Linked DNA regions of Anolis sagrei. The protein of the gene in region 2 binds, or shares a complex with, the protein of the main gene of each other region. Links are inferred from orthologs where the notes say so. Each region holds a gene or a part of one and is shown on either strand. Other genes may lie near its edges.

Evidence for each region.
Region 1: the proteins of NTRK1 (region 2) and NGF are in contact, whole or in part, in a crystal structure (PDB 1WWW), measured with the Homo sapiens proteins. The link is inferred for Anolis sagrei from reciprocal best matches to the Homo sapiens genes NTRK1 and NGF. Residues at the interface, in NP_002520.2 of Homo sapiens: His291, Val294, Glu295, Met296, His297, Cys300, Pro302, Phe303, Ser304, Leu333, Glu334, His343, Gly344, Cys345, Arg347, Thr352, His353, Met379, Asp380, Pro382; in NP_001424474.1 of Homo sapiens: His125, Pro126, Ile127, Phe128, Arg130, Gly131, Glu132, Phe133, Ser134, Ser138, Ser140, Trp142, Tyr173, Phe175, Arg180.

The regions. Positions count from the first base shown.
Region 1 is NC_090024.1:203,800,029-203,815,520, forward strand, and holds the start of NGF (beta-nerve growth factor), read right to left. Parts: upstream 6,180-15,492; 5' UTR 5,642-6,179; intron 1-5,641. UniProt on the Homo sapiens protein: Nerve growth factor is important for the development and maintenance of the sympathetic and sensory nervous systems.
Region 2 is NC_090032.1:10,581,071-10,596,878, forward strand, and holds the start of NTRK1 (high affinity nerve growth factor receptor), read right to left. Parts: upstream 5,899-15,808; 5' UTR 5,770-5,898; coding exon 5,570-5,769; intron 1-5,569. UniProt on the Homo sapiens protein: Receptor tyrosine kinase involved in the development and the maturation of the central and peripheral nervous systems through regulation of proliferation, differentiation and survival of sympathetic and nervous neurons.

The DNA.
Region 1 (15,492 bases), on a different chromosome or scaffold from region 2:
GGGTTATAATGGAAACCTTAGTTCAAATCTGTAAGCAGAATCTTCAAATATCCTCCAGGAACTTGTACAATGATGGTGATGGGGAGATCAAAAGATGTAAACTTTGTGATGTAAACTCACCATTTCCCATGCTTCAAGTTGCATGGGAAATGGTGATTTTACATCACAAAAGTACACAATGACTTTTGATCTGGCATCTCCCCATCATCAACATTTTACAAGTGACATCTCAGGCCCATCCTCTGTTCAGATATCAGCCAGCACGCCAATGCCTTAAATCAAGAAATAGCTTTCTAAAATCTGCAGATATACTCACAGGAAGACCTCAGCAAGTGAGAGTCCAAAAGCGGCAGGCTAAAACTCATAACCTCAATCCATGTCTGATACCGAATGAGAGACTCTTCCTTGGGTCTATTACTTGGGCACACAGAAGACTGGGTGACTTGAAAGGCATTGAACAAACTAAATTCTGGTACCACGAGATGCAGAGCTAACCTTAAGAAATGGGGCTACAAAGTAGAGTCTACAACATGCGAGTGTGGAGAAGAGTAAACCACAAACCACTTATTATAATACAGCCTGCACAATGCACAATGGAGGACCTTCTTATAGCAACACCAGAGGCACTCCAAGTGGCCAGCTACTGGTCAAAGGAAATTTAGTATAATGCCAAGTTTTAAATTTTGTTTGTGTTTTAAAATACATTATAAATGTACCCTCAATTTGCTTCTGACACCATACATAAATAAATACCATTTCCCATTACATTTGAGCCTAACTATAGGATGTTTGCACCTCAAAGGGACTGGATGTTAGCCTCTGTGAGGATCCCCTTGTTTCATACAAAAGATGAGACCAAACACAATACATATAGTACAGTCTAATTAAATGATTGTTGTATGAAACAAGTTTGGTATTGTTGAAACATTTTGGTTTAGATAGTGGACCTTTAGTATCTACAGAGCTTTGGTTCTTGTAGACACAAAAATTCATGGATACTCAAATCCCTTGATATGCAGCAGCATAGCAAAATGCTGTCCCTTAATTAGAATGGCAAAATCAAGGTTTCCTCTTCAGAATTTTTTTAATACATATTTTCAATCTGTGGGTAGCGGAATCCATGGGTGCAGAATCCATGGATACAGAAAGCTGCCTATATTCACATCTTTCTACACTGTAATATATTGTTTCCAGTAAAGCAGTTTAGTACTGGGGAAGCTAACATTTGACAAGTTCTTACCACAAATGCTCATAACTTACTGGCTCTTGCTGAATTTTTATTATTATTCTAATTATAGGGGAGATAACCACAGTTGCTACTATCAAGTCCAGATCTCGCATCCATAGGCAACAGCGAACAAGTCATTTTGGTGAAGAGGTCTGCCATATGCTCTCTAGTTCATAGCTGTGGTTAAAGTTCTTGCTGCTTTGGTTATCTACCATTTCCATGGACAGCATTTGCAATTGATGGGTGGTCTCCTATTTCTATGAAAGTCCAGTTGTTCATATTGAACAAACCAAGGCAGAGTTAAACTGAGTAAGCACCATGAATTTCAAGGCAATGGAAAGCACATACAGGAGTGTTGTATCTCTCTTTTAATTCACAAACAACTTAATTGTGTAATTCTTTTGTTTCTTGATAATCATACAAAGGCTGGAGTGGGGGAGACCCAAAAGCCCCACTTGTCTTTCTGTAGATTAATTAATTCCAGACGATGAACGGTTTAATGTTTAACCTATAACAGAGTCAACTGTTTCCATCTGAAATGCCAGAATGAAATGTGGCACAATTTCCCGACCCTGAAATTTTGTTGTATTATTAAAATTACTCCTCCACTCTGCAGACAAAATCAGGAGGGTTTTCTGGCATACAGCATAAAACAAAAAATCTTATCTGTAAAGAATCTGCCTCGCAGTTCCACACAAAACCTAAGAACACATCTGGAGAGATTTTTTAAAAAATAATGTTTATAAAAAAAAACTCCAGCTCAATCCCTATAAGTGCATTTATTCAGAAGCAAACCTCATTAATGTCAATGCAACTTATTTCTGGGTATGTTTACTTAGCATTTTGTAACTTTCTTTAATGGAGGTTATTAAACCAATCAGGGACAATTCATGTTTATCAGATTACTGCACTCAGCGTGTATTTGCTAGATTGGAATTGCCAGCAGAGGTCCCCATTGCTTTAAATGGAATGATACCTTTTTTTCCAAAAAAATCAGAAAAATGGAAAGTGGTGGTTTGGAGCTCTGGGAAAGACACTACATCATCCTCCCAACCACAAACTGAACCAATGATGTGACAGAATCTGTAAGTTTTGTTTGATGACATTTGAGCAACATTTCCCCCCTCAATTGGGGGTTGGAAGGACTAAATACATTAGTGCTAACAAGACAGTACATTTCAGCTCTTAAACTGAAAATAATGAATATGTACAGGAATCTTGAAAGAAACATTGCTTCTTTTGAAAGCAACACAACATAATTTTGATGTCTACTGAGTGATTACAAACTGATATCAAAGTATTAGTTCGCAAATGGACATGCCACTTGCCTAGTTTCCAACAGACCTCAGGATGCCTGCCAATGTGGGTGAAACGTCAGGAGAGAATGTTTCGGGAACCTTGCCATACAGCCCAGAAAATTCACAGCAAACCATTATCAAAGTAATTTTTATCCCATTAAGCAGACAACACCATTCTAATTTGTGCCTTCATTTTGTTCCATAAAAGAAAGGTAACATCAACACAGAACGAGGCTAGATTTTTTGAATCTAAACTCTGACAATGTAATGCATATATGAAATACTCCTTCTTTAAAACTGGGACTGGCTCTGTAGGCCATAAAAGCATTTTTATGGGGCGATGAAAAATCCTTGAGCTCCTGGCAATGTTTTAAATGAATCTGAAATCAATTCACCAAGAAGAGGCGGCAGCAGCAGCAGGTGAATGCTGTTAAGCAAAACTGTGAACTCGGAGCTGATCTAGTGCTGGGATGGAGTAATGAGCAGCCGTCAACATGACTTCTACCATGAAACAGATTCTGTCCCTTTAGGGCGAGTTCCCTGCATTTCTGAAGTTGTTGAATAATCATTATCCCAATTCCACATACCCCTTTGAAAGTGACTATATCGCTGAGCAATGTCTCCAGATGTTCCTTGGATTGTTAAGCAGTGATTCAGAAAGTGGAGATTACGGTCCCCGTTCTCTTCGCCAAGGCATGTGTCTCATCTAACTCATCTGGCCCCTGGCACTTATTTATCCTGGTTTAAGATCTTTCAGATAATACTTCCATGGACCATCATGATGTGATTTTACTACAGTCTATAGATTTCATTTCACTGCAGCACTCTATCTATGCAATGACACAGAAAGGTCATCACGGTTGAATCATTTAATTATGAAGTTGTATTGTCAAAAGCTTTCATGTCCGGAATCACTAGGTTGTTGTGAGTTTTCCAGACTGTATGGCTATGTTCCAGAAGCATTCTCTCCTGACATTTTGCCTGCATCTATGACAGGCATCCTCAGAGGTTCTGGAGTCTGTTGGAAATTAGGAAAATGATGCAGGCAAAATGCCAGGAGAGAATGCTTCTGGAACATGGCCATACAGCCCGGAAAACTCACAACAATCCAATTATGAAGTTGTTGACCAAACAGAAGACATCACTGAAACCAGGTGGCTTTAATGCATCTGCACAAGTGAAGCTGTCAGGAGGAGTTTAAGAACAAATCTCTAAGAACAAAAACAACCAGGATCTCAAAGTTTTAGCAACTTCTCAGGTCAACAGAAGAGACTTTGTTACTGGGATTCACACAAGAAATCATACACAGAGCCTTAGTTCATACCACAAAAGGTTTTCCACCAGTACCCTCTGATGTCTGCAAACTTTCCTAGTTCCAACACTGCAGAAAAGCACATAGCAAACAAGCACACTCTTATTTAGGCATTTGTTCTTAAAATTCCAAATATTCTGAGAAAACATGGAAATGCTCTGAGGTTCAGTGGAAGGAGAAATAATGCCACCAATTTCCAACAAACTGCAAATTCAAAACTCTTCTTATCCTTCCCCCTCCCTTTCAACTCTTTCAACCACTGTCTGGTGTCAAACACACTCACTCACACACAGAGCCCAGTCCTGAAGCATAAATCAATGAATACCATCCGTTTCCATCCTGCCCCTGCTAGGCAGACAGCGAGGAGTTCATTGCTTGAGGGATAAAAGAGGGAGAATCAACTGATTTAGAAATGCAGTGTCTATTGCTGTCTTAAAAACTGTAAAGGAGAGGAGGAAAGAGTGGCAATCTTGCACTGACTTACAGCAGAAGGTCACATTCATGCGTGGTGTTTCATACTAATGGCATCAATATGGGCTTCTCGTGCCCTTGGTTTTTGGAAAACGAACCCTGCACTTAGCAAAGGCCTGCTGCAAATCTATTTATGTTATTTATTTACTGTATTTATATCCCGCTTTTCTTATCCCTGGGGGGACTCAAAGTGGTTTACAACAAACCTACCCTCCAGACTCCCCTCCTGGAGCTATTAATAGAGGCTGCGGGACTTTTTAACCAGGGATTTTTGCCTGGATCTACACTGCCAGATATTGCAATTTGGATATTGCATTATAGCGTCAGTATAGACCAGGGATGGGCAAACTTGGGCCCTCCAGGTGTTTCAAGCCCATTCGTTTTGATGACCTGTAATATTGGAAACAGCCCCTGAAGAACCTGCTCCTTGGCTCCAAAGCCACCACTTCTGTTGGCTTTTGGATCTTCTTGGGAATGGGGCTTGGAAGTTGAAACAGGGCCATTTGCAGAAATTGCATGTTCAGTGGCGTGAATCCAGTTTCTCTTTGGGTTGCCAAGATGAAAGTGGGCCCAACTTTAGCTCCCATCGGCTGTTAGGAATTAAGGGAGTTAAGGTCCAGAACACATGGAAGGCTGATTATGGGTGGTGTAGACCCATATAATGCAGTTTAACTGCATGCAACTACAGTAGAGTCTTGCTTGCCCAACATAAATGGGCCGGAACAATGCTGGATAAGCGAAAATGTTGGATAATAAGGAGGGATTAAGCAAAAGCCTATATAATGCCAAATTATGTTCTGATTTTACAAATTAAGCACCAAAACATGTTTTATAACAAATTGACAGAAGAAGCAGTTCAGTACATGATACGTTTTCTAGTAATTACTATATTTACGAATTTAGCAGCAAAACATTGCAATGTATTGAAACAGCTGTGGATCAGGGCAGGAAGCAGACTACATTGGATAATACAGAATGTTGGATGAGGGAAGGTTGGATAAGCGAGACTCTACTGTATATAGATCCTACACTAACGCCATAATGTAGTTCCCAACTGTATTGTCTGTACCTTAGACAGAAAAGGAGCAATTTCCCAAGGGTGGCTTAGGGCCCCAAGGAGAGGCTTGGCACTCCTGGGATGTGTGGTCTGGAATCTCTGAAAGGCGAAAGACAGCCCCGAGCCAGTTCAAGGGCAGTTCAAGTGTTGCCCATTCAACGGCATTCATTCGACTACAGTACAGAAGAGGCGCCCTTGGAGTTTGCCCGGGGGCACAAGTCGCCCAGGCTGTGCTGGTCCCACTCCCTCCCTCCCTCGCTCACTCACTCACTCACCTCCGGCGGGCAGGTGGAGAGAGATCCCCTTCAGGAGGAGCTGGTGCCGGTGCTGCTCTCTTCTCCGTGGCCGCCCCGCTTTCCGCGAACCCTCGAGCCGCTCCCCCGGCGCCCGCGAGCCATCCACTTCGCCACCGCGCGCCCCAGCCTCATCCACCGCGCGCTGCCCTTCGACTCCGACGGCGCTCCTCGGACGGATGGTCGGACGGTAGGTCGGTCGGACTGACTCACGCAGCCCCGGGGGCGCTCTCCCTCGGCCTCCCGCTCGCGCTCCGCCTGGGTCCTAGCGCCATCAAAGCCGAGGAGCGAGCTGCCCAGACTCGCGCGGGAAGATTCCCCCGAGGGCCGCTCACTCGCTCGTTCACTCACTCACTCCTTCCTTCGCTGGCCGGCTCTGACTGAGTGAGTCCCAGGGAAGGCGCGCGGGACACGTCGCGGGAGAGAAAGAAGAGCGCCTGCCTCTCTCTGCCGCCTCCTCCTCCCGCCCGCCCCGCTTTCATACCGGGCGAGGGGCCCCGGCTCCTGTCTCCTGAGGAGGGACAGCAGCCGCCCACGGGGCTTCCCCGACGCCTCGAGGTCCACCCACCCAGCCGTCCACGCCCATCGTGCCTGACCTGGCACCAGGTCTTCGCTTATCCGCAACAAGCTCCGGACACCAGGACTGTCTGGTTGAAATCGCCTACGAGGGCATCTAGACCAGGCTTGAGCAAACTTGGGCTCTCCGGGTGTTTTGGACTTCAACTCCCACCATTCCTAACAGGTTTAAGCTTAAGCATCTAGGGGGAAAAGGAAGGGGCCTGTGACTGTTAGGAATGGTGGGAGTTGAAGTCCAAAACACCCGGAGGGCCCAAGTTTGCCCAAGCCTGATCTACACTGTCGGATGAATGCAATTTAACCCCACTTTCATTGCCATGACGATGTGTTCTATACCATTACATTTCACAAAGTCTTTCTCCTTCTCTGGTGGCTCACCCAACTAAAATCCAGTAGCAAGGAGCCATGGCAGCTGACCTCTGGTCAAACTGCCTTCCTTCTACAAGGTATACAGTATACATACATGTGCCTTCAATTGGTCTTTGGGAGCCCCAGTGGCACAATGGGTTAAACCCTTGTGCCAGGAGAACTGATGACCAACAGGTCAGTAGTTCGAATCTGGGGAGAGTGGGTAGAGCTTCCTCTGTCAGCTCCAGCTCCTCATGCGGGGACATGAGGGAAGGCTCCCACAAGGATGCTAAAACATCAAAACATCCAGGCACCCCCTGGGCAATGTCCTTCCAGACAGCCAATTCTCTCACACCACAAACAACTTGCAGTTTCTCAAGTCATGCTTGACATGGAAAAAACATATATGGTATTTGGAAGAAACAGTGTACTTCCTCAAGGGTTTCAAGCCCATTCGTTTTGGTGATCTGTAACACTGAAAACAACCCTTAAAGAATCTGCTCCTTGTTGGCAGCCTCCCCCCAAGAAGCAGCCCCCACACCAAGGTACAAAGCCACCACCTTTGTTTGCTTTTGGATCTTCTTGGGAAGAAATTTGAATTCGAAACAGGGCTATTTGCAGAAATGACATATTCAGTGGAGTCAATCCAGTTTCTCTTTGGGTTGCCAAGATCAAACTGGACCCAAATACCCTAAGGCATCAGTTCCCCAAAATTTCATTTCCTACAGAACCATTATTGCTGCTATCTCCAGTTTTCATCCTTGGGGGGGGGGGGGGCACAGCACTGCCAATGGTGAAACACTCCCTTGTTGCTCCCTCACTCTGTGCCACACTGTCTTCCTCCTGCAGCATCACGGAGGGGAAAAAGTGAGGGACAGAGGCCAAGCAAGTACTAGTAAGGAAGATGGGGTGGGGGGTGAAATACAGGACAATCCCCTCCAATATCCATGGTGGGTATGTTCCTGTGAATGTTAGAGATGCTGAAAAGAAGTGGTAGTTTGTACAGGAGGCCGAAGTGAACAAGTGAAATCATGGAAACGACATGTATCAATTTTAAGGATACTATGCCTATAGAAATCACACTTTAGTGGTGTAATAAGATCTAAGTCATTTCTATTCTTGCCATTCATTGATTTGCTGGAGGAAGAAGAGCACTGGACATTGTGAATTGTGCTGCTTCTTTTCCTCATTGCCTGACAACCACCCTTTTTGCTTGATCGCCTTCCCTTTTAACTCACCACATCTCCTGCACATCCTCATTTATCTGTTTCCTTACATGGTACCACCAAACACACTTTCCATCCTCAACTCCTTTCTTTTTCTAAAGTTCCCTTGTACTTCTCCCTCATTTTCTTTTCTCCTGCCTCATTGGCTGAGTTATTATCATAACCAGGCATCCTCTAGCTGTTTAGCCTGCAGAAGAGAAGGGTGAGAGAAGACATGATAACCATTTATAAATATGTGAAGGGAAGTCATAGGAAGGAGGGAGCAAGCTTTTTTTCTGCTGCCTGGAGACTAGGACATGGAGCAATGGCTTCAAACTACAAGAAAGGAGATTCCATCTGAACATTAGGAAGAACTTCCTAACTGTGAGAGCCGTTCAGCAGCGGAACTCTCTGCCCCGGAGTGTGGCAGAGGCTCCTTCTTTGGAGGCATTTAAACAGAGGCTGGATGGCGATCTGTCAGGAGTGCTTTGAATGTGATTTTCCTGCTTTTTGGCAGGGGGTTGGACTGCATGGCCATGAGGTCTCTTCCAACTTTATGATTCTATGAGTCTAAGCCGTAGCCAGCTTGTTCAATAGTCAAGAATTCTGGGAGCTAGAGACACAAACAGCTGGAGTGAGGGTTGTAGTTTGAGGGTGCCTGACCTTAACTTTCTACTACCTCCTCCTCTTCTATCATCCTTCTTCATATCCTGCTGCTGCACCATGTGCCAATATTTCTATGTAAGAATAGATGGCATAGGCAGCCAAACTGAAAGGCAAGAGAGGGAGTCAAAATATTTGTGTGCTGGAAGGAAAGCAGGGTGAAAGAGGAAGGGTAATGCAGGGAAATGGTAATAATGGGATTATCAGTAGTGGCACAGTTTTCAGTAGGAGATATTGGACTACCACTGTCAGAAAAGCAATTGAGTGCCAACTGAGAATTCTCTGTTTGAATGTTGAATTAGATGATCAAGCAAACTTCTGATAAAAAACTTAAAAGGGTGACATGTAAACAGTTATAATAAATATTGTTACTTTTGGGAGACTGGGACTCTGTACTGTGCAACCAATATAATAGTAACAAGCTGACGTTAAAAAGCTGGGACATTATATTAATTTATAATGTCAAAATAATTTTTTTCCACAAATTGCTAATCACCATCAGCAAGCCAAGATACATAGATTATAAATCCATACTTTCTAGAATAAATTTATTTATTTATTTACTATATTTTCTTCTCAGCCCTGGGGCAACTCAGAGCGGTTAACAATAGCAAAATGCAATGCTCAAAAAATCATAAAACAGTTATAAACAATTAAAACAATAGCATAATAAACAGTCAATATAAGTCAATTAAACATCTCATTAGCGTCTCATAGTTAAAATCAAGATCCAGTCTCATAATCCAATTGTTCCATATTCCTATGTTCGTTACACTGCCTATTCAAATGCCTGCTCGAACAACCAGGTCTTCACTTTCCTCCGAAATGTCAACAGGGAGGAGGGTGATCTAATATCTGTAGGGAGGGCGTTGCACAGCTGAGGGGCCACCACTGAGAAGGCCCTGTCCCTCGTCCCCGCCAAACATACTTGTGACGCTGGCGGGACCGAGAGCAGGGCCTCCCCAGACGATTTTAACACCCTAGCTGGTTCAGAGGAGACGGTGAGTTCAGACAGGTAAGTTAGGCCAGAACCGTTTAGGGCTTTATAGGCTAAAGCTAGCACTTTGAATTGTGCCCGGTAGCAAACTTGCCTTAGTTTGGCAGGATTCTCCTTCTTCTGGTTTCAAAATATTGAAAAAGAAACTCAGTGCACTTTAGGCATAAGAGAAAGCAAAGAACCCTCTGCAAAAGCTATGCCAGGGTAAACCAATGATGCCTATGCCTGTCAATAACAGAGTGGTATATATAAGTAATAGCAAATTGCACAATTCATCAATAACAAGGCATAAGAGAAAGCAAAGAACCCTCTGTGAAAGTTCATGCCAGGGTAAACCAATTATGCCTACGCCTGTCAATTACAGAGTGGTATGCATAAGTAATAGCATATTGCACAATTAATCAATAACAAGGCAATAAATTATTCTTTACAGTGTTCTTTACAGAGCTCACAACTAAAGTGTGAAAGGTATACATGCCTGGCCTGGACATTACTCACATACTGAGTGCAGCAGACACTTAGGTCACCCTTCCATAAAGCTTAATGGCTATTCCTTAGATTTTGCCTAAATATGCTTATTGTAAACATACAGGGAAATGAAGTACTCATCTCTATATATGTCTGCCCAATGACAGAGCCTGCCAGAAGGGATCTCTTATGTATCCCATTGATATGATCAATGCTGTGTGAGGCTTTCTCATTTGTAATATGCCACTTGTGGAATGCCTTTACCTGGTGCCAATTAAAACTTTATATAGGTGCCATATATCAACATGACTAATATAAGAAGCATTTGGGGAGTAAGTGACTCACTCTAAGATACTTAGGCACTAGGTTTTAGACTGTTCTAACCTGTTAAACCTATTTTCAAGATGATTAAGCTCTTTTAAAATGTATTGTAATTATTTTATAGTTTTGAAGTGTTTAACTTGCTTATATTGCCTCAAGACTGCATCACGCCAAGTGAAATATAATGAGGTTGCGATTGCTAATGATAACCCTTTCCAAATGAGGATGTGCTGTCTCCATGTGGGTGTATTGTCTTATTGTTACATAGTGCCTATACATACTGTACAAGTGCCTTCAAGAAAGTGTGGTAATGGTTGGTTGGTTGGTTAATTAATTGCTTGCAACAGTCATAGTTTTTATTTTCTCTAAGAAGGTCAAAGTAGCCTTGTGAAGAAAATCAAGCTCAAGGTGCGGGAGAGCTCCATCTTCATCTAATAATCTAACCCAAGGGGTCCTCAAACCTTTTAAACAGAGGGCCAGGTCACAGTCCCTCAAACTGTTGGAGGATCGGATTATAATTTGAAAAAAACATGAATGAATTCCTATGCATACTGCACATATCTTATTTGTAGTGCAAAAACCACATGAAAACAATATAATAATTAAAATGAAGAACAATTTTAACAAATATACACTTATTAGTATTTCCATGGGAAGTGTGGGCCTGATTTTGGCTGATGAGATAGGATGGTTGTTGTTGTTGTGTGCTTTCAAGTCATTTCAGACTAAGGTTGACTCTGAGCGAGGGCCGGGTAAATGACCTTGGAGGGCCGTATCCGGCCCCCAGGCCATAGTTTGAGGACCCCTGGTCTAACCTATATACCATGCTAGTTTCCGCCCTAAAGTGATAATGATGGGTCCCTCTATAAGAGCCATTTAATATGTCCTAAATCTGGAGTGGCAGTACTCCAGATTGAACCCTCCTCTTTCCCATTTCGTTGTGCAGTAGCAGGATTAAGTCTGGATTGCCCAGTTGGGCTTAGCCTGGTTAGGCTCTACTACTGGATAGCCACACTTGTTTGTGTCGATTGTTGCTGTTGTTGCTGCCATTGCTGCTGTTTCACTAGGGCCCTGAAGCCTCTTTTCACTACAAACCACACACTGTCCATATAATCCAATAAGTAAAAGTTTATTAAAGGCAGAATATATAAAAAGCAAGCAAATTCAAAAGAGAGAATCAAAGTTCAAAATGTTATTTCCATAAATGCTGAGAGTCCAAAAATTTATTAAAAGAAAGTCTCCAAAGTCAATCCACAGAGATATCCAAAGGCAAGGTTACATGACTCCAAACTATGCCACACAGGAACTGGAAGCAAGAACAGCTTGTTGTTGTTGTTCATTCGTTCAGTCGTCTCCGACTCTTCGTGACCTCATGGACCAGCCTACGCCAGAGCTCCCTGTCGGCCGTTACCACCCCCAGCTCCCTCAAGGTCAGTCCAGTCACTTCAAGGATGCCATCCATCCATCTTGCCTTTGGTCGGCCCCTCTTCCTTTTGCCTTCCACTTTCCCCAGCATAATTGTCTTCTCTAGGCTTTCCTGTCTCCTCATGATGTGGCCAAAGTACTTCAACTTTGTCTCTAGTATCTTTCCCTCCAGTGAGCAGTCGGGCTTTATTTCCTGGAGGATGGACTGGTTGGATCTTCTCACAGTCCAAGGCACTCTCAGCACTTTCCTCCAGCACCACAGCTCAAAAGCATCGATCTTCCTTCGCTCAGCCTTCCCTAAGGTCCAGCTCTCACATCCGTAGGTTACTACAGGGAATACCATGGCTTTGACTAGGCGGATCTTTGTTGCCAGTCTGATGTCTCTACTCTTCACTATTTTATCGAGACTGGACATTGCTCTCCTCCCAAGAAGTAAGCGTCTTCTGATTTCCTGGCTACAGTCTGCATCTGCAGTTATCTTTGCACCTAGAAATACAAAGTCTGTCACGGCCTCCACGGTTTCTCCCTCTATTTTCCAGTTGTCAATCATTCTTGTTGCCATAATCTTGGTTTTTTTGACGTTTAGCTGCAACCCGGCTTTTGCGCTTTCTTCTTTCACCTTGATTAGAAGGCTCCTCAGCTCCTCCTCGCTTTCGGCCATCAGAGTGGTGTCATCTGCATATCTGAGGTTGTTAATGTTTCTTCCAGCAATTTTCACCCCAGCTTTGCATTCATCCAGCCCCGCACATCGCATGATGTGTTCTGCATACAAGTTAAAAAGGTTGGGTGAGAGTATGCAGCCTTGCCGTACGCCTTTCCCAATCTTGAACCAGTCTGTTGTTCCGTGGTCAGTTCTGACTGTTGCTACTTGGTCCTTGTACAGATTCCTCAGGAGAGAGACAAGGTGGCTTGGTATGCCCATCCCACCAAGAACTTGCCACAATTTATTATGATCCACACAGTCAAAGGCTTTAGAATAGTCAATGAAGCAGAAGTAGATGTTTTTCTGAAACTCCCTGCCTTTCTCCATTATCCAGCGGATATTGGCAATCTGGTCTCTCGTTCCTCTGCCTTTTCTAAACCCAGCTTGAACATCTGGCAACTCTCGCTCCATGTATTGCTGGAGCCTTCCTTGCAGGATCTTGAGCATTACCTTACTGGCATGAGAAATAAGGGCCACTGTACGGAAGTTTGAGCAGTCTTTCGCACTTCCCTTTTTTGGTATGGGGATATAAGTTGATTTTTTCCAGTCTGATGGCCATTCTTGTGTTTTCCATATTTGCTGGCAAATGGTATGCATCACCTTGACAGCATCATCTTTTAAGATTTTAAACAGTTCAGCTGGGATCCCATCATCTCCTGCTGCCTTGTTGTTAGCAATGCTTCTTAAGGCCCATTCAACCTCACTCCTCAGGATGTCTGGTTCTAATTCATTCACCACATCGTCAAAGCTATCCTCGATATTGTTATCCTTCCTATACAGATCTTCTGTATAGTCTCGCCACCTTCTCTTGATCTCTTCAGCTTCTGTTAGGTCCCTGCCATCTTTGTTTCTTATCATACCAATTTTTGCCTGAAATTTACCTCCAATGTTTCTAATTTTCTGGAAGAGGTCTCTTGTCCTTCCTATTCTGTTGTCTTCTTCCACTTCCGTGCATTGCTTATTTAAAAATAGTTCCTTATCTCTTCTGGCTAACCTCTGGAATTGCGCATTTAACTGGGCATATCTCCCCTTTTCACTGTTTCCTTTTGCTTTCCTCCTTTCTTGGGCTACTTCCAGTGTCTCAGCAGACAACCATTTTGCCTTCTTGGTTTTCTTTTTCTTTGGAACGTACTTTGTTGCCGCCTCCTGAACAATGTCTCGGACTTCTGTCCATAGTTCTTCTGGGACTCTGTTTACTAAATCTAGTCCTTCAAATCTGTTCTTCACTTCCACTGTATATTCGCTAGGAATGTTAGTGAGATCATATCTAACTGGTCTGTGTATTTTCCCTGATCTCTTTAGTTTTATTCTAAATTGGGCAATAAGAAGTTCGTGGTCTGAGCTACAATCAGCCCCAGGTCTTGTTTTCACCGACTGGATGGATGTCCGCCACCTTTGGCTGCAAAGGATGTAGTCAATCTGATTTCGGTGTTGACCATCTGGTGAGGTCCATGTATAAAGCCGTCTTTTAGGTTGTTGGAAGAGAGTATTCGTTATACACAGCGAGTTTTCCTGGCAGAATTCTATCAGCCTGCGTCCCGCTTCATTTTGTTCTCCCAGACCATGCTTGCCTGTGATCCCAGTTGTCATTTGATTTCCCACCTTGGCATTCCAGTCTCCTGTAATGAAAATAATGTCTCTTTTTGGTGTATTATCCAGTAGTTCCTGCAGATCCTCATAGAACTGATCTACTTCTGCTTCTTCAGCAGCTGTGGTTGGGGCGTATATTTGGATCACTGTGATGTTGAAAGGCTTTCCTTGCACTCGAATTGAGATCATTCTGTCATTTTTTGGGTTGTATCCAAGCACCGCTTTAGCGAATTTCTTATTAATTATGAAGGCTACTCCATTTCTTCGATGTTCCTCTTGTCCGCAGTAGTAGATCTGGTGGTCATCTGATGTGAAGTGGCCCATTCCAGTCCATTTCAGTTCGCTGACCCCCAGAATGTCTATCTTTAGTCTTGACATCTCACCAATAACAACATCCAATTTGCCCTGGATGTTGAACAGCTTAGAAACTTGAATACATACATGCCAAGAAAACAACCCCCCTCCCAAAAACCAAGAACTCTTTATCTTAATGCAGCATTGATTTCACAAAGATTGTACCAGCAGGAACCACTTTAAAAAGCCCCAAATCCTTTCGTGACATTATTTCTCACACACCTGCTTCTCTGCTCCTTATCTCTAATTCTCTGGGAAAAGCGAGTCTGTTACATGCCCAGTCTTTGCAACTCCAATTGTCTTGACCTAGACAAACATCTGGCAGGTTCCCATGTGAACGGATCTCACCTTCTCCAGTCTCTTGGGAACAGCCGGGAGGATATTCCAAAACAACTCTCTATGGGCCACTTCCTCTCTCCTCCAGGCCCTCTGAATCTTTCCCAGCATCCCCTTCCTCCTCATCTGAACACTCAGAATCTGACCAGGCTACAACAGCTACCACCACTGCTGCTGTAGTCACAGCCACAGAGCTCGTGTCTATTGCTCAGAATTTTTGTCAATGTGATCAGAAATGTGGGGGTGAGGAGGGGGGGGGTGCTACTACAGCAATGAAAAAATGACACAACTAGGCATCATCTTCTTTTCCCTATGTCACAAAGTGTGGGGAAAACTATGCGGCAATACTGGCCCTTTAAACTACTCACACCATCTTGAAGTGCAAACCTGCTTTGGAGCTTCAGGGAAGTTTTGACTTTTTGTAATGGAGGGCAAAGCCATGTTAAGTGGCTTCACCTCACATTGGGAGCAAGAAAGCCTTATACATAACAACAACAACAACAACAACAACAACAACAATTTTATTTCTTACCCACCTCTCCTTGTAGTTCGAGGTGGGTTGCAAGATCACTAAAAATGTATAATCATCTAAAACATTCTATAAAAACACATATTAAAACATATTTCTACAAAATACATATTAAAATACACAGAACAAAGATTAAATATAAGATTAAACTAAAATTGTTTGGGTAGGACATCATGCAGACATCACAGAGCAACTTTTTGCCCACTTTGAGAACTGTGCCCATGAAGATAAGCCCATCATGTGGAGTCCCATTCAGATGGTATTGTAGCTGCATTGAGGTTACAATACAAGTTTCTGTGCTGCATAGTGCCTACTATG
Region 2 (15,808 bases):
TGACCTTCAGGTCAGCTGTTCAGTTGGCACAAGGGTTTAACCCATTCCACCACCGCAGCTCCCAGCTAAGCAGGGTCATCCTCAATTATTGCTTCTAGGATGGGAGACCATCCGGCCCCAGTAACTGGTCAATATACATTTTGATGCCTCAAATGTTAGCTCTGGGTATATTTGACCTGCTGTTTCCAAAACTGGTACATATTCCTCCTTCTCAGCTCTAGTTTTTGAGATACGAACATATGGCATCTCTCAGCCGCCATCTGCTCACCCATAAGAAATCATGGTAACCATATCTAAGAAACTAGAGCTGGTGGGATCTGTTCAAGGCAATTTTCTGAATCAGTGGCAATCATAATAATAATAATAATAATAATAATAATAATAATATAGATCTCGTTTGCTGTGACATACTGTGCTTTTGTGTCAGTAAAATAATAATAATAATAATAATAATAATAATAATAATAATAATCACAATAATAAACACTGCTGGCTGTTGAATTGGATCACACGTCGGATCCTTCCCAAGTGTCTAGGACTGTGTGATGTATCGGCAAATAATGCGTGCAGATCCCAGTAAGGTGACCTTCTGCAGCTGGCAGATGGTAATTTTGTCAGCGCCGATTGTGTTTAAGTGCAGGCCAAGGTCTTTAGGCACTGCACCCAGTGTGCTGATCACCACTGGGACCACCTTGACTGGCTTGTGCCAGAGTCTTTGCAGTTCAATTTTTAAATCTTCATATCGTGTCAGCTTTACCAGTTATTTCTCTGCAATCCTGCTGTCATCTGGGATTGTGACATCGACAATCCATAATTATTATTGTTATTAATTTGTTATTAATTTTTAATTTCTATATGTATGTATTTCATCTTTTACAATTTAGCTGTAAATCGCCTAGAGCATTCTCGGATGGAGGGCAATTAATAAGTAATTATATATGATATTATTATTATTATTATTATTATTATTAGGACAATTCATTCCACAGTCAAATTATGTTGGTTCTGGCAAAGACAGCTCTTGGTGAAAGTTTGCAAATACCGTCCTTAGACACCAGCTTTGTATTCTTCTTCCTTTCAGACCAGTCTTGCTTCTCTGCCATTTTGTATAGCCCTTGCCCACCCTGCCTTCAACTTCTTGAGATGGGGCCACTTCACCCCTGATGCCAGGACCCCTAAAGGGCATCAGAGCTGGACTCGCTCTCCTCCCATTTGGGAACAGCCCCCCTTCGAGGGGTATTTTGTTAGGAAACCAGCAGCCTCCTATCAAGGAGCAAGCTGGCACAGAACTTGGTGTTTTTGCCACTCCCGTAATTGAGTGGGCACTTGGAGGGCAGCCTTGCGAAGCCACTCAGGGCTTCGAAGAGCCCCATTTGGTGTGCCAGTTGAACCAAGGCATTCTTTCACCTGCCTCGTTCACCAAGTCCACCACTTTCTCCTTTCCAGGAGAGCTGTTTGGACAAGTCAGAGGTTGAGCCATTGGGGCCCAGCTCTTGCCCCTTCAATGTATGCCTTTCTGGCTTCAGTTGTGCCAAAGGAAAAGGTGTGGTTTTAAGGGCAGAGAAAGGAACATCCCTCCCCACTCCCTGGCACTCAGGTGCCCTCCTGCTTTCTCCTGCCTCAACCAACTGGGCCACTGCGCTTAGTAGAGGTAGAATAGATAGATGAGACTATTTCATAATGACACGAACACTGGGCAGGATGGCACAGAAGAGGCAGCATGACTCAGGTGCCACTCCTGGCATCAGGAACCTCAGAGTACGGTGAAAGGGCGGAATAGGAGAAGGAAGAGAAAGAAGGAGGAAGAGAAGAGAAGGAGGAAGAGGAGAAGAGTAGAGAGAGAAGGAGGAAGGAAGAGAGAGAAGGAAGATGAGGAAGAGATTGGCATGGGAGTAGGAAGTGAGAGAAAGAGAAAGAGAAGGAGGAGGAAGAGTAGCATAGGAGCAGGAGGGAGACGGAGGAAGAGGGAAAGAGTGGCATAGGAGCAGGAAGAGAGCAAAAGAGGGAGATTAGATGGAGGAAGATGAGAAGGAGGAAGAAAGGAGTGGCATTGGAGCAGAAAGAAAAAGAAAAGGGTACGGAGGAGAAGGAGGAAGAGGAGAAGAGTAGCATAGGAGCAGGAAGAGAGCAAAAGAGGGAGATTAGATGGAGGAAGAAAGGAGTGGCATTGGAGCAGAAAGAAAAAGAAAAGGGTAAGGAGGAGAAGGAGGAGAAGGAGAAGAGTGGCATAGGAGCAGGAAGAAGGAGAAGTTGAGATAGGAGCAGGAAGAGGGAGGAAGAGGCAGAAAGAGCAGGAAATAGTGGTATAAGAACAGAAAGAAAGAAGGAGAAAGAGGCAAAAAGTGGTATAGGCGCATGAAGAGAGAAAGAGGATGAGGAGAAGGTTGGCATGGGAGCAGGAAGAGAGAGGAAGAGGAGAAGGAGCAGGAAGAGGGGTAAAGAGGAAGAAAAAGAGTGGCATAGGAATAGAAAGAAAAAAAGGAGAAAGAAGGGGAAGGATGAAGAGAAGAAGACTGGCATGGGAGCCGGAAGAGAGAGGAGGGAGAGGAGGAGGAAGAAAAGAAGAATAGCATAGGAGCAGAAAGAAAGGGAAGAAGGAAGAGGGGGAAAGGGGAGAAGGAGGAAGAAGAGGGGGAAAGAGTGGCATGGGGGCAGGAAGAGAAGGTGGAAGAGGGAAAAGGAGGAACATAGGTTGGCATGGGAGCAGGAAGAAGGAGCAGTAGGAAGAAGACGAGAGTGGCATAGGAGCAAGAAGAGAAAAAAGGAGGAAAAGGTGAAGGAGGATGAAAAGAAAATGGCATGGGAGCAGAAAGAGAGAAAAGGAAGAAGAAAAGAAAGTTGCATGGTAGCAAGAAGGGATAAAAGGAGGAAGAGAGAGAAGTTGGAAGAGGAGAAGACTGGCACAAGAGAAGGAAGGGAGAGGAGGAAGAGGAGAAGATTTGCATGGGAGCAGAAAGGAGGAAGAGGGAGAAGGAGGAAGAGGAGAAGACTGGCAGGAGAGAAGGAAAAGGAGAAAGAGAAGATTGGCATGGGAGCAGAAAGGGGTAGAAGGAGGAAGAGAGAGAAGGAGGAGGAAAAGAAAGTGGTGCAGGAGAGAGAAGAGGAAGGAGAAGGAGGAAGAGAAGAAGACTGGCACGAGAGAAGGAAGAGAGAGGAGAAGAGGAGAAGATTGGGATGGGAGCAGAGAGAGAGAAGGGGGAAGAGGAGAAGGCGGAGGAAAAAAGGAATGGCATGGAAGCAGAAAGGGATAGAAGGAGGGAGAGAGAGAAGGAGGAAGAGGAGAAGGCAGCGGAAAAGAAAATGACATAGGAACAGAAAGGGATAGAAGGAGGAAGAGGGAAAAGGAGGAAGAGAAGAACATTGGCAGCATTAGAACAAGAAGAGAGAGAAGGAGGAAGAGAAGAAGACTGGCACGAGTGAAGGGAGAGAGAGGAGAAAGAGGAGAAGATTGGCATGTGAAAAGAAAGTGGCATAGAAAGAGACAGAAGGAGGAAGAGGGAAGAGTCGGAAGAGGAGAAGATTGTCAGCATGAGAGCAGAAAGAGAGAGAGAAGGAGAAAGAGGAGAAGACTGGCATGAGAGAAGGAAAAGGAGAAAGAGAAGATTGGCATGGGAGCAGAAAGGGGTAGAAGGAGGAAGAGAGAGAAGGAGGAAGAGGGAAAAGGATGAAGAGGAAAAGATTGGCAGCATGAGAGCAAGAAGAGAGAGAAGAGGGAAGAGAGAGAAGGAGGAAGAGGAGAAGGAGGGCGAAAAGAAGCATGGCATGGGAGCAGAAAGGGGTAGAAGGAGGAAGAGGGAGGAGGAGGAAGAGGAGGAGGAAAAGAAAGTGGCATAGGAGCAGAAAGAGAGAGAAGAAGGAAGAGGGAAAAGGAGGAAGAGGAGATTGGCATCATGAGAGCAAGAAGAGAGAGAAGGAGGAAGCGAGAGGAGGAAGAGGAGAAGGAGGGCGAAAAGAAGCATGGCATGGGAACAGAAAGAGGGAGAAGGAGGAAGAGGGAAAAGGAGGAAGAGATTGGCAGCATGAGAGCAAGAAGAGAGAGAAGAAGAGAAGGGGGGGGGGGTAAAAAAAAGAATGTCATGGGACCAGAAAGGGATAGAAGGAGGAAAAGGGAAAAGGAGGAAGAGGAGAAGATTGGCAGCATGACAGCAAGAAAAGAGAGAAGGAGGAAGAGGAGAAGGCAGAGGAAAAAAGAATAGCATGGAAGCAGAAAGGGATAGAAGGAGGGGGGAGAGAAGGAGGAAGAGGAGAAGGCAAAGGAAAAGAAAGTGGCATAGGAGCAGAAAGAGAGAGAAGGAGGAAGAGGGGAAACTGGCATGAGAGAAGGAAAAGGAGAAAGAGAAGATTGGCATGGGAGCAGAAAGGGGTAGAGAGAAGGAGGAAAAGGCGGAGGAAAAAAAGAATGGCATGGAAGTAGAAAAGGATAGAAGGAGGGAGGGAGAGAAGGAGGAAGAGGAGAAGGCAGAGGAAAAGAAAGTGGCAAAGGAATAGAAAGAGAGAAAAGGAGGAAGAGGAGAAGACTGGCATGACAGAAAGAAAAGGCGAGAGAGAAGATTGGCATGAGAGCAGAAAGAGGCAGAGAGAAGGAGGAAGAGGAAAAGGAGGATGAAAAGAAAGTGGCATAGGAGCAGAAAGAGAGAGAAGGAGGAAGAGGAGAAGGAGGGCGAAAATAAGAATGGCATGGGAGCAGAAAGGGGTAGAAGAAGGAAGAGGGAGGAGGAGGAAGAGGAGGAGGAAAAGAAAGTGGCATAGGAGCAGAAAGAGAGAGAAGAAGGAAGAGGGAAAAGGAGAAGGAGGAGAAGGTTGGCATGGGAGCAGAAAGAGATAGGAGGAAGAGAGAGAAGGAGGAGGAGGAGGCAGAGGAAAAGAAAGTGGCATAGAAGCAGAAAGAGAGAGAAGGAGGAAGGGGAAAAGTCGGAAGAGGAGAAGATTGTGGCAGCCTGAGAGCCAGAAGAGAGAGAAGGAGGAAGAGGAAAAGGAGAAGACTAGCATGAGAGAAGGAAAAGGAGAAAGAGAAGATTGTCATGGGAGCAGAAAGGGGTAGAAGGAGGAAGGGAGAGGAGGGAGAGGAGGAGAAAAAATGGCATGGAAGCAGAAAGAGAGTGAAGGAGGAAGAGGGAAAAGGAGGAAGAGGAGAAGATTGGCAGCCTGAGAGCAAGAAGAGCAAGAAGGAGGGAGAGAGAGGAGGAGGAAGAGGAGAAGGAGGGCGAAAATAAGAATGGCATGGGAGCAGAAGGGGTAGAAGAAGGAAGAGGGAGGAGGAGGAAGAGGAGGAGGAAAAGAAAGTGGCATAGGAGCAGAAAGAGAGAGAAGGAGGAAGAGGGAAAAGGAGGAAGAGGAGAAGACTGGCAGCATGAGAGCAAGAAGAGAGAGAAGGATGAAGAGGAGAACATTGTCATGAGAGAAGGAAAAGGAGAAAGAGAAGATTGGCATGGGAGCAGAAAGAGAGAGAAGGAAGAAGAAGAGGAGGAGGAGAGTGGCCCAAGAGCAGAAAGGAGAAAGAAGAGGAGCCGGGCAGAAGGAGTCCCCCCCCCCGGGGGGGGGGGCATGCCCATCCCTGGGTGCTGCTCACATTTCGGTGAAGTTCTCCAGGCTACGGAGCTGGGCGAGGCTCCGGATGGTGTTGGGCTCCTGGCAGAGGAGGCTGTTGAGGTAGCAGCGGCATGGCTCCAGGCAGGGCGAGGGGGTGGCGGGGGGCGGCAGGGGCATCAGCCAGGCCAGCAGGCACAGGGCCAGCCCCGCCCGGCCCCAGGGCGCCCTCCTCGCCTCCATCCAGACCCCCAGTCTCAGTGGTCCATGGGGCACAGCCCTTCCCTCCCTTCAGCTCCCCAGAGCATCCCTGCCTCTCTCTCTCTCTCTGCCAAGCAGGGCACCTCTGCCTCCCGATGCCTGCCGCTGCATTTAAAGGGCAAAGGGGGAGGAGCCTCCCACACACACTGGCCACGCCCCCTCCCCACTCCCCAGGACCCTCTCTCTAGGGATGGACCCAGAGAGAGAGAGAGCAGGCTGCCATGGCCCCTCTCTAGGTAGAGCCAGGGCACTGGGACTGGCATCCCATTCTAATTATTATTATTATTATTATTATTACTATTACTATTATTAGAAACACAACAAGATGTGTCCAGAGCAGACACTCTGCTGGCTGTTTTATTGGATCACACGTCGGACACTTCCCAAGTGTCTAGGACTGTGTGATGTATCGGCAAACAATGCGTGCAGATCCCAGTAAGGTGGCCTTCTGCAGCTGGCAGATGGTAATTTTGTCAGTGCCGATTGTTTTTAAGTGCAGGCCAAGGTCTTTAGGCACTGCACCCAGTGTGCCGCTCACCACTGGGACCACCTTGACTGGCTTGTGCCAGAGTCTTTGCAGTCCAATCTTTAAATCCTCATATCGTGTCAGGTTTTCCAGTTGCTTCTCTGCAATTATTATTATTATTATTATTATTGTTATTATTATTTAATCCTTTTCTATGGCACACAGCAAACAGAGGAATTGATCAGCAACTGAACATACTAGAGAGGTTTAGGGAGAATTCACCACAAATTATAGGAATTGGAGGTACTGGGATGTATAGTTCACCTGCAATCAATGAACATTCAGAACTCCACCAATGATGGACCTGGAACTAGCTTGGCACACAGAACCCCCATGACTAACTCAACCTACTAGAGAAGTTCGAGGGGATTGAACTTGACCACGGTGGTCCACGCTCTGGTTACATTCTGTATAGACTACTGCAACGCTCTCTACGTGGGATTGCCTCTGAAGACTGCCTGGAAGCTTCAACTAGTCCAACGAGTGGCAGCCAGATTATTAACAGGAGCAGGGTACAGAGAGCATACTACTCCTCTGTTGCGGCGGCTGCCAATTAGCTTCCGAGCACAATTCAAAGTGCTGGTGTTGACCTATAAATCCCTAAACGACTCCGGCCCAGTTTACCTGTCCAAATGGATTCTCCCCTATGAACCATCAAGGTTGTTAAGATCTTCTGGAGGGTCCCTGTTCTCGGTCCCACCACCTTCGCAATCGCGTCTGGTGGGGATGAGGGACAGGGCCTTCTCGGTGGTGGCCCCTCGGCTCTGGAACTCTCTCCCATTAGAGATTAGATCTGCCTCTCCCCTCCTGACTTTCAGAAAGCTGCTAAAAACCTGGCTTTGGAATATAGCATTTGCAGAATGATGATCGAGTCAATAACGGCTGACCACACCGGCGGATGGGGATGAATTTGTGATTTTATTCTGACGACCTGGCTTTTGTAATAGTATGATATTGTATGATCTGTATTTTAATGTAATTTGTATTAATGTATTACGATGCTATTATGTTTACTATATTTGTGTTGAATTTTCTGCTGTTAGCCGGCCTGAGTCTCTCTTCGGAGGTCGAAGAGAGAGGAGATTCCATCTGAACACGAGGAAGAACTTCCTGACTGTGAGAGCCGTTCAGCAGTGGAACTCTCTGCCCCGGAGTGTGGTGGAGGCTCCTTCTTTGGAAGCTTTTAAACAGAGGCTGGATGGCCATCTGTCAGGGGTGATTTGAATGCAATGTTCATGCTTCTTGGCAGAATGGGGTTGGACTGGATGGCCCATGAGGTCTTTTCCAACTCTTTGATTCTATGATTCGAGAAGACCGGGTTATAAAAGCTCTAAATAAATAATAAATAAATAAATTGACTCACTCTAGTGCAGTGTTTCTCAACCTGGGGGTCAGGACCCCTGGAGGGGTTGCGAGGGGGTGTCAGAGGAGTCACCAAAGACCACCAGAAAACACAGTATTTTCTGTTGGTCATGGATGTTCTGTGTGGGAAGTTTGGCCCAATTCAATCCTTGGTAGGGTTCGAATGCTCTTTGATTGTAGGTGAACTATAAATCCCAGCAACTACAACTCCCAAATGTCAAGGTCTATTTCCCCCAAACTCTACTAGTGTTTACATTTGGGCATACTGAGAATTCGTGCCAAGTTTGGTCCAGATCCATCATTGTTTGAGTCTACAGTTCTCTCTGGATGTAGGTAAACTACAACTCCCAAAACTCAAGGTCACTGCCCACCAAACCCTTCCAGTATTTTCTGTTGATCATGGGAATTCTGTGTTTCCCAGTTCGATTCAGTTCTATCGTTGGTGGAATTCAGAATGCTCTTAGATTGTACGTGAACTATAAATCCCAGCAACTACAACTCCCACAGGACAAAATCAATACCCTCCCCCAATCTGTTACTATTCATAACAGCAGCAAAATGAGTTATGAAGTAGCAACGAAACTAATTTTATGGTTGGGGGTCACCATAACATGAGGAAGCATATTAAGGGGTCGTGGCATTAGGAAGGTTGAGAACCACTGCTCTAGTGCGAGTTGTAGTTTACTCTGCAGCCAGAGAGCACACTGGACCCCACCAATGATGCATCCAGAGCAAACTTGCCCAACATAACAATCTTTAAGTACTGATGGGGGGTTAACCTGGCCAGATGGGAGTTGTAGTTCACCCACAACGTTATGCATTTTGCACAATTAATAAATTGACTTTCTCAAATAACCCAGACACCACCAGGTACCCAAGGTAATAATTACAATACAATACAATAAACTACATAACGAAGGATAAACAATAACATAAACAATCAATATAAGACAATAGCAAACAGAATTAACATTAGATTTAAAGCTCCGTATGTAAACATGGCTATCACGTCCCCTCTTAGTCTTTTCTCTCTCTCCAAGCTAAACCTCCCCAGCTCTCTAATTGGTTCCTCAAAGAGTTTGGCTTCCAATGTTTTGATTATTTTGGACACAGTCCAGCTTGTCAATAGTCAGTGCCACTCTTCGCGTGCCCCAGAACACCTTTGGCTTTATCGCGGACTGAAGAAGTCAGGATGGGCTTGAGGACAGGCGGAGGTTGGCTTCCTCCAATTTGTCTCTTACCCTGTGGGCTGGCCACAGATTAGCAGGCCCATTGATTAACCACTCAGTGTTTAATTGATTAATCAATACACCAGCCATATTTACATGCATTTGCATACGGTAAACCAAACACATGAGCTCCCGGTGGTGCAGTGGGGTTAAACCGCTGCTGAACTTGCTGACCAAAAGATCGCACATTCAAATCCAAGGAGCGGGGTGAGCTCCCACTGTTAACCCCAGCTTCTGCAGTTCGAAAACATGCAAATGTGAGTAGATTAATAGATACCACTTCAGCGGGAAGTTAATGGTGCTCCATGTAGTCATGCTAGCCACATGACCTTGGAGGTGTCTATGGATAACGCTGGCTTAGAAATGGAGATGAGCACCAACCCCAGAGTTCAATATGACTGGACTTACCTTGACCTAACCACACATCTCCGAAACACCAAAGGATGCCTCCCATGCATATCCTATCAGGAAAAAATACCCACCATCCAATCATACCTTGTTCCATGAAGGTGTCCCTTATGCTCACCTGAATCCTGGCAAAGGAATTTACAAAAGCTAAAGTACTCGTATTTTTTTGTTACTAATTTATATTTATATTTCAAGAATGAAAATAAGAAAACTGTCCAAAAACTTTTCAGCCAAATGTGTGGGCAGGTAAATATAGCCTGTTTGATGATAGAACCTTTCAGCGGCCAGGCTTTGAAGCTGCAAGACTATTCAATGCTAGTCTTGTGTGTTTTATGGGTTCCATTTAAACATCCTGCTCCTATTTTATCTCATTATAGTCTGTTAATTGGGTTGTTGTAGGTTTTTTTCGGGCTATATGGCTATGGTCTAGAGGCATTTTCTCCTGACGTTTCGCCTGCATCTATGGCAAGCATCCTCAGAAGTAGTGAGGTTTGTTGGAACTAGGAAAAAGGGTTTATATATCTGTGGAATGACCAGGGTGGGACAAAGGACTCTTGTCTGCTAGAGCTAGGTGTGAATGCCTCTAGAACATGGCCATATAGCCCGGAAAAACCTACAACAACCCAGTGATTCCGGCCATGAAAGCCTTCGACAATACATAGTCTGTTAATTGTTTTTATTTGGAATATGTGGCCCGCCCATTGTCATCTCTATTGTGATTGTATCTATTGGAATTATTATTATTATTATTATTATTATTATTATTATTATTATTATGTCATTTTGATAATGTTGTTATTTGTTGTATATGCTTTGATTTTATTGCTGTATTATGTTGTCCGGACTTGGCCCCATGTAAGCAGCTCCGAGTCCCCATCGGGGAGATGGTGGCGGGGTATAAATAAAGTATTATTATTATTATTATTATTATTATTATAGTCTGTATTGTTTTTGCTTATTGCTTGTTGTTTCTATAGATGTGTTGTTGGGCTTGGCCTCATGTAAGCCGCTCCAAGTCCCCTTGGGGAGATGGTGGCAAGGTATAAATAAATTATTGTTGTTGTTGTTCAATGTATTGTCGAAGGCTTTCATGGCTGGAATCTCTCAGTTCTTGTGGGTTTTTTCGGGCTATATGGCCATGTTCTAGAAGCATTTCTAGAAGCAGGCGAAACGTCAGGAGAAATGCTTCTAGAACATGGCCATATAGCCCAAAAAAACCCACAAGAACTGAGAGATTGTTGTTGTTGTTATTATTATTATTATTATTATTATTAGTCAAGGTGGCCAATGGCAACATCCATATTTGCCTCCAACAGAGAATTCATTCTCCCACCCTGGACATCTTTCCACAGATCTATAAACCCCATAGAATCCTACAATCAAAGAGTTGGAAGAGACCTCCTGGGCCATCCAGTCCAACCCCATTCTGCCAAGAAGCAGGAATATTGCATTCAAATCACCCCTGACAGATGGCCAAAAAGTTTAAAAGCTTCCAAAGAAGGAGCCTTCACCAGACTCCAGGGCAGAGAGTTCCACTGCTGAACGGCTCTCACAGTCAGGAAGTTCTTCCTCGTGTTCAGATGGAATCTCTTCTCTTGTAGTTTGAAGCCGTTGTTCCGCGTCCTAGTCTCCATGGAAGCAGAAAACAAGCTTGCTCCCTCCTCCCTGTGCCTTCCTCTCACATTTTTATACATGGCTATCCTCTCAGCCTTCTCTTCTTCAGGCTAAACATGCCCAGCTCCTTAAGCCGCTCCTCATAGGGCTTGTTCTCCAGACCTTTGATCATTTTAGTCGCCCTCTTGCCTCATTTCCAAGAGACCTAACAACTTCTGAAAATGCCTGCCATAGATGAGGGTGAAACATCAGGAGAGAATGCTTCTGGAACATGGCCATACAGCCCGGAAAACTCACAGCAACCCTATGCCAGGTTGGCAACTGACTTTTTGGAGGTGGCTTTTGTGGAAAAGAGAAAGCTCTTTGCCAGGCAAAGCTAGACCCTTTGTGTAAGCCCTCTCCAACCGACCGATATCGGTGCCCCCGTTGATGGCCCGCCTGCTTCTCCTTCTGCTCCTCGTTGCCCCGATTTGCTAGGAAGAGTCCAGTGGGAGCCCCCGAAAGGCTAGTGAGAGTATTAGGGGTCTCCAGAGAGCTCTTGGCCTCCTCTAACAAGCATGGCCGTTGTTGATGGATGGTCCCTTTGGAAGTGGGCACAGATGGGCTCCTGCAGGGAGCGACAACACAGGCCGTACATCAGCAGATGTTGCAGAGGGGCGGGATATGCCTTCTTTTGGATATGCCATGCTCGAGGGCATGCAAAAAGAGACTCAGAATGGGGAGCAAAACAAATCTACTCACCTCTCACTCACTCTATAGAGCAGTGGTTCTCAACCTTCCTAATGCCGCGACCCCTTAATACAGATCCTCATGTTGTGGTGACCCCCAACCATCACATTATTTTCGTTGCTACTCCACAACTGTCCTTTTGCTACTGTTGTGACCTGTAATCTATATAAATAAAAACGTAATATTCGTTTGTGGGATTAACAGAACTCAAAAACCACTGGACGAATTGACGAAAAACTGGAAAGGTTTGGTGGACATTGACATTGAGTTTGGGAATTATAGTTCACCCACATCCAGAGAGCACTGTGGACTCAAACAACGATGGATCTGGACCAAACTTGGCACGAATATCCCATATGCCCAAATATGATGGAGTTTAAGGGAAATAGACCTTGACATTTGGGACACAAGACATCTAACAACCCAAATTGACACCTAACAACCCTAACAACCCATCCTCACTACCTCTGAGGATGCTTGCCATAGATGCAGGCGAAACGTCAGGAGAAATGCCTCTAGAACATGGCCCTATAGCCCGAAAAAACCCACAAGAACCTAGTGATTCCAGCCATGAAAGCCTTCGACAATACATTAAACCCAAATTGATTTTGCGATTTGGGAGTTGTACTTGCTGGGATTTATAGTTCACCTACAAAGAGCATTCTGAACCCCACCAATGATGGAATTGAACCAAACTTAGCACACAGGGCTCCCATGACCAACAGAAAAAACTGGAAAGGTTTGGTGGACATTGACATTGAGTTTGGGAATTATAGTTCACCCACATCCAGAGAGCACTGTGGACTCAAACAATGATGGATCTGGACCAAACTTGGCACGAATATTCCATATGCTCAAATATGAACACAGATGGAGTTTAAGGGAAATAGACCTTGACATTTGGGAGTTGTAGTTGCTGGGATTTATAGTTCACCTACAATCAAAGAGCATTCTGAACTCCACCAACGATGGAATTGAACCAAACTTGGCACACAGTTCTCCCATGACCTACAGAAAATACTGGAAGGATTTGGTGGGCAGTGTCCTTTGGTTTTGGAGTTGTAGTTCACCTAAATCCAGAGAGTACTGTGGACTCAAACAATGATCAATCTGGACCAAACTTGGCACAGATACTCAATATGCCCAAATATGAACACTGGTGGAGTTTGGGGAAAATAGAATCTTGATATTTGGGAGTTGTAGTTGCTGGGATTTATAGTTCACCTACAGAGCATTCTGAACCCCACCAACAACAGAATTGGGCCAAGTCTCCCACACTGAACCCCCATGTGGGCCACTGCAACATGTGGCAGGGGACGACTAGTGTAAATAATATGGAAGACCACCAGCATTGAAGCGATGGTCCTCCACCATCAATTCCGCTGGACCGGCCACATTGTCTGGATGCCCGACCACCATCTCCCAAAGCAGTTGCTGTACTCCGAACTCAAGAAAGGAAAATGGAATGCTGGATGACAGGAAAAGAGATTTAAAGATAGGCTGAAAGCCAACCTTAAAAACTCTGGCATAGACACTGAGAACTGGGAAGCCCTGGCCCTTGAGCGCTCCAGCTGGAGGTCAGCTGTGACCAGCAGCGCTGTAGAATTTTAAGAGGCATGAATGGAGGGTGAAAAAGAGAAACATGCCAAGAGGAAGGTGCATCAAGCCAACCTCGATCAAGACCGCCTTCCACCTGGAAACCAATGCCCTCACTGCGGGAGAAGATGCAGGTCAAGAATAGGGCTCCACAGTCACCTATGGACCCTCCAGAGCACTGATACTGGAAGACTATCCTACTCGGCCAATGAGGGATCGCCTATGGAAATAATATGGGGGATGCATTTTCATTCACCAGACCAAATTCGGCACAAATACCCAATATGCCCAAATTTGGGGGCAAGGGGATTGATTTTGTCATTTGGGAGTTGCAGTTGCTGGGATATATAGTTCACCTACAATCAAAGAGCATTCTGAACTCCACCAATGATGGAATTGAACCAATCTTGGCACACAGAACTCCCATGACCAACAGAAATACTGGAAGGGTTTGGTGGGCACTGACCTTGAGTTTGGGAGTTGTAGTTCACCTACATTCAGAGAGCACTGTGGACTCAAACAATGATAGATTGGACCAAACTTAGCATGAATACTCAATATGCTGAAATGTGAACACTGGTGGAGTTTGGGGGGAAATAGACCTTGGGAGTTGCTGTTGCTGGGATATATAGTTCACCTACAATCAAAGAGCATTCTGAACTCCACCAATGATGGAATTGAACCAATCTTGGTGCACAGAACTCCCATGACCGACAGAAATACTGGAAAGGTTTAGTGGGCATTGACCTTGAGTTTTGGAGTTGTAGTTCACCTACATTCAGAGAGCACTGTGGACTCAAACAATGATGGGTCTGGACCAAACTTGGCATGAATACTCAATATGCCCAAATGTGAACACTGGTGGAGTTTGGGGGAAAATAGACCTTGATATTTGGGAGTTGCAGTTGCTGGGATATATAGTTCACTTACAATCAAAGAGCATTCTGAACTCCACCAATGATGGAATTGAACCAGTCTTGGTGCACAGAACTCCCATGACCGACAGAAATACTGGAAGGGTTTGGTGGGCACTGATCTTGAGTTTTGGAATTGTAGTTCACCTACATCCAGAGAGCACTGTGGACTCAAACAATGATGGATCTGGACCAAACTTGGCATGAATACTCAATATGCCCAAATGTGAACACTAGTGGAGTTTGGGGGAAAATAGACCTTGATATTTGGGAGTTGCAGTTGCTGGGATTTATAGTTGAGCATTCTGAACCCTACCAAGGATAGAACTGGGTCAAACTTCCCACACAGAACCCCCAAGACCAACAGAAAATACTGTGTTTTCCTATGGTTTTTGGTCACCCCTCTGACCCAACACAGGAATCCCAACTCTCAGATTGAGAAACGCTGCTATAGAGATACTATTGTATAATTACACTTCTGCTTCGGAGCACATTTGACTAATTCCTAAATGTTCCCTTTGTTATAGTAATGAATATGTTATAAAGTCCCGATCTTGCTCACAGTTGGAAGACTATTTCAGGGGGGAGGTGGATCTTGAGGAGGGGATGAACGGCGCAGAGGGAAACATTACTGCCTTGCACTTTGCAGCAGATGGCTCTGAAAGCACTTTCCAATAAGCACTTGGCGTTCATTAAAACCAAATGGAGGCAAATTTAAAAGCAATCCAGGGAAGTGCTTCCTCCAGCCCTTGGGAGCGAGCGCGCCACGTGTGCCACTGCTTCTTCCCCCCATCCATGGATTCCTCTTTTTAATTAATTCTTCTTCGGAAACAAAGGCCGAAAAAAGGCAAAAAACGACCGTACAAAAACACACACAGCTTTTCATTTCTTTACTATGAAACTAAAACGATGGCGGTTGTAAAAACCTGAAGCCAACACACCAACCGAAGACATACACCCAGGCTAACACACACATACTGCTTGCGCAACTGCTAAAACTGTTCTGCGAACCTCACACGCTTTCCCACTTAAGGCTCTTCCAGGTAGGCCCTGTATACCAGGTTTTTGGCTTTAAACTGGATTATATGAGTCTGCACTGCCAGATAATCTGGGATAGAATCATAGAATCATAGAATCAAAGAGTTGGAAGAGACCTCATGGGCCATCCAGTCCAACCCCCTGCCAAGAAGCAGGAATACTGCATTCAAATCACCCCTGACAGATGGCCATCCAGCCTCAGTTTAAAAGCTTCCAATGAAGGAGCCTCCACCACACTCCGGGGCAGAGAGTTCCACTGCTGAACGGCTCTATTTATTTATTTATTTGTCGTGTCAGAGCAGCCAGTCCATTATATTACATTTCTAACAGGACAAAGCAAACAAACAGAAAAATACACAACTTGTGAGTTTGGTAGCTGGTTAAATGTCCTTTGACCAGTATCTGGCCACTTGGAGTGCTTCCGGTGTTGCCGCAAGAAAGGTCCTCCATGGTGCATGTGGCAGGGCTCAGGGTGCATTGCAGCAGGTGGTCAGTGGTTTGCTCTTCTCCACACTCGCATGTCGAGGATTCCACTTTGTGGCCCCATTTCTGAAAGTTGGCTCTGCATCTCGTGGTGCCAGAGCGCAGTCTGTTCAATGCCTTCC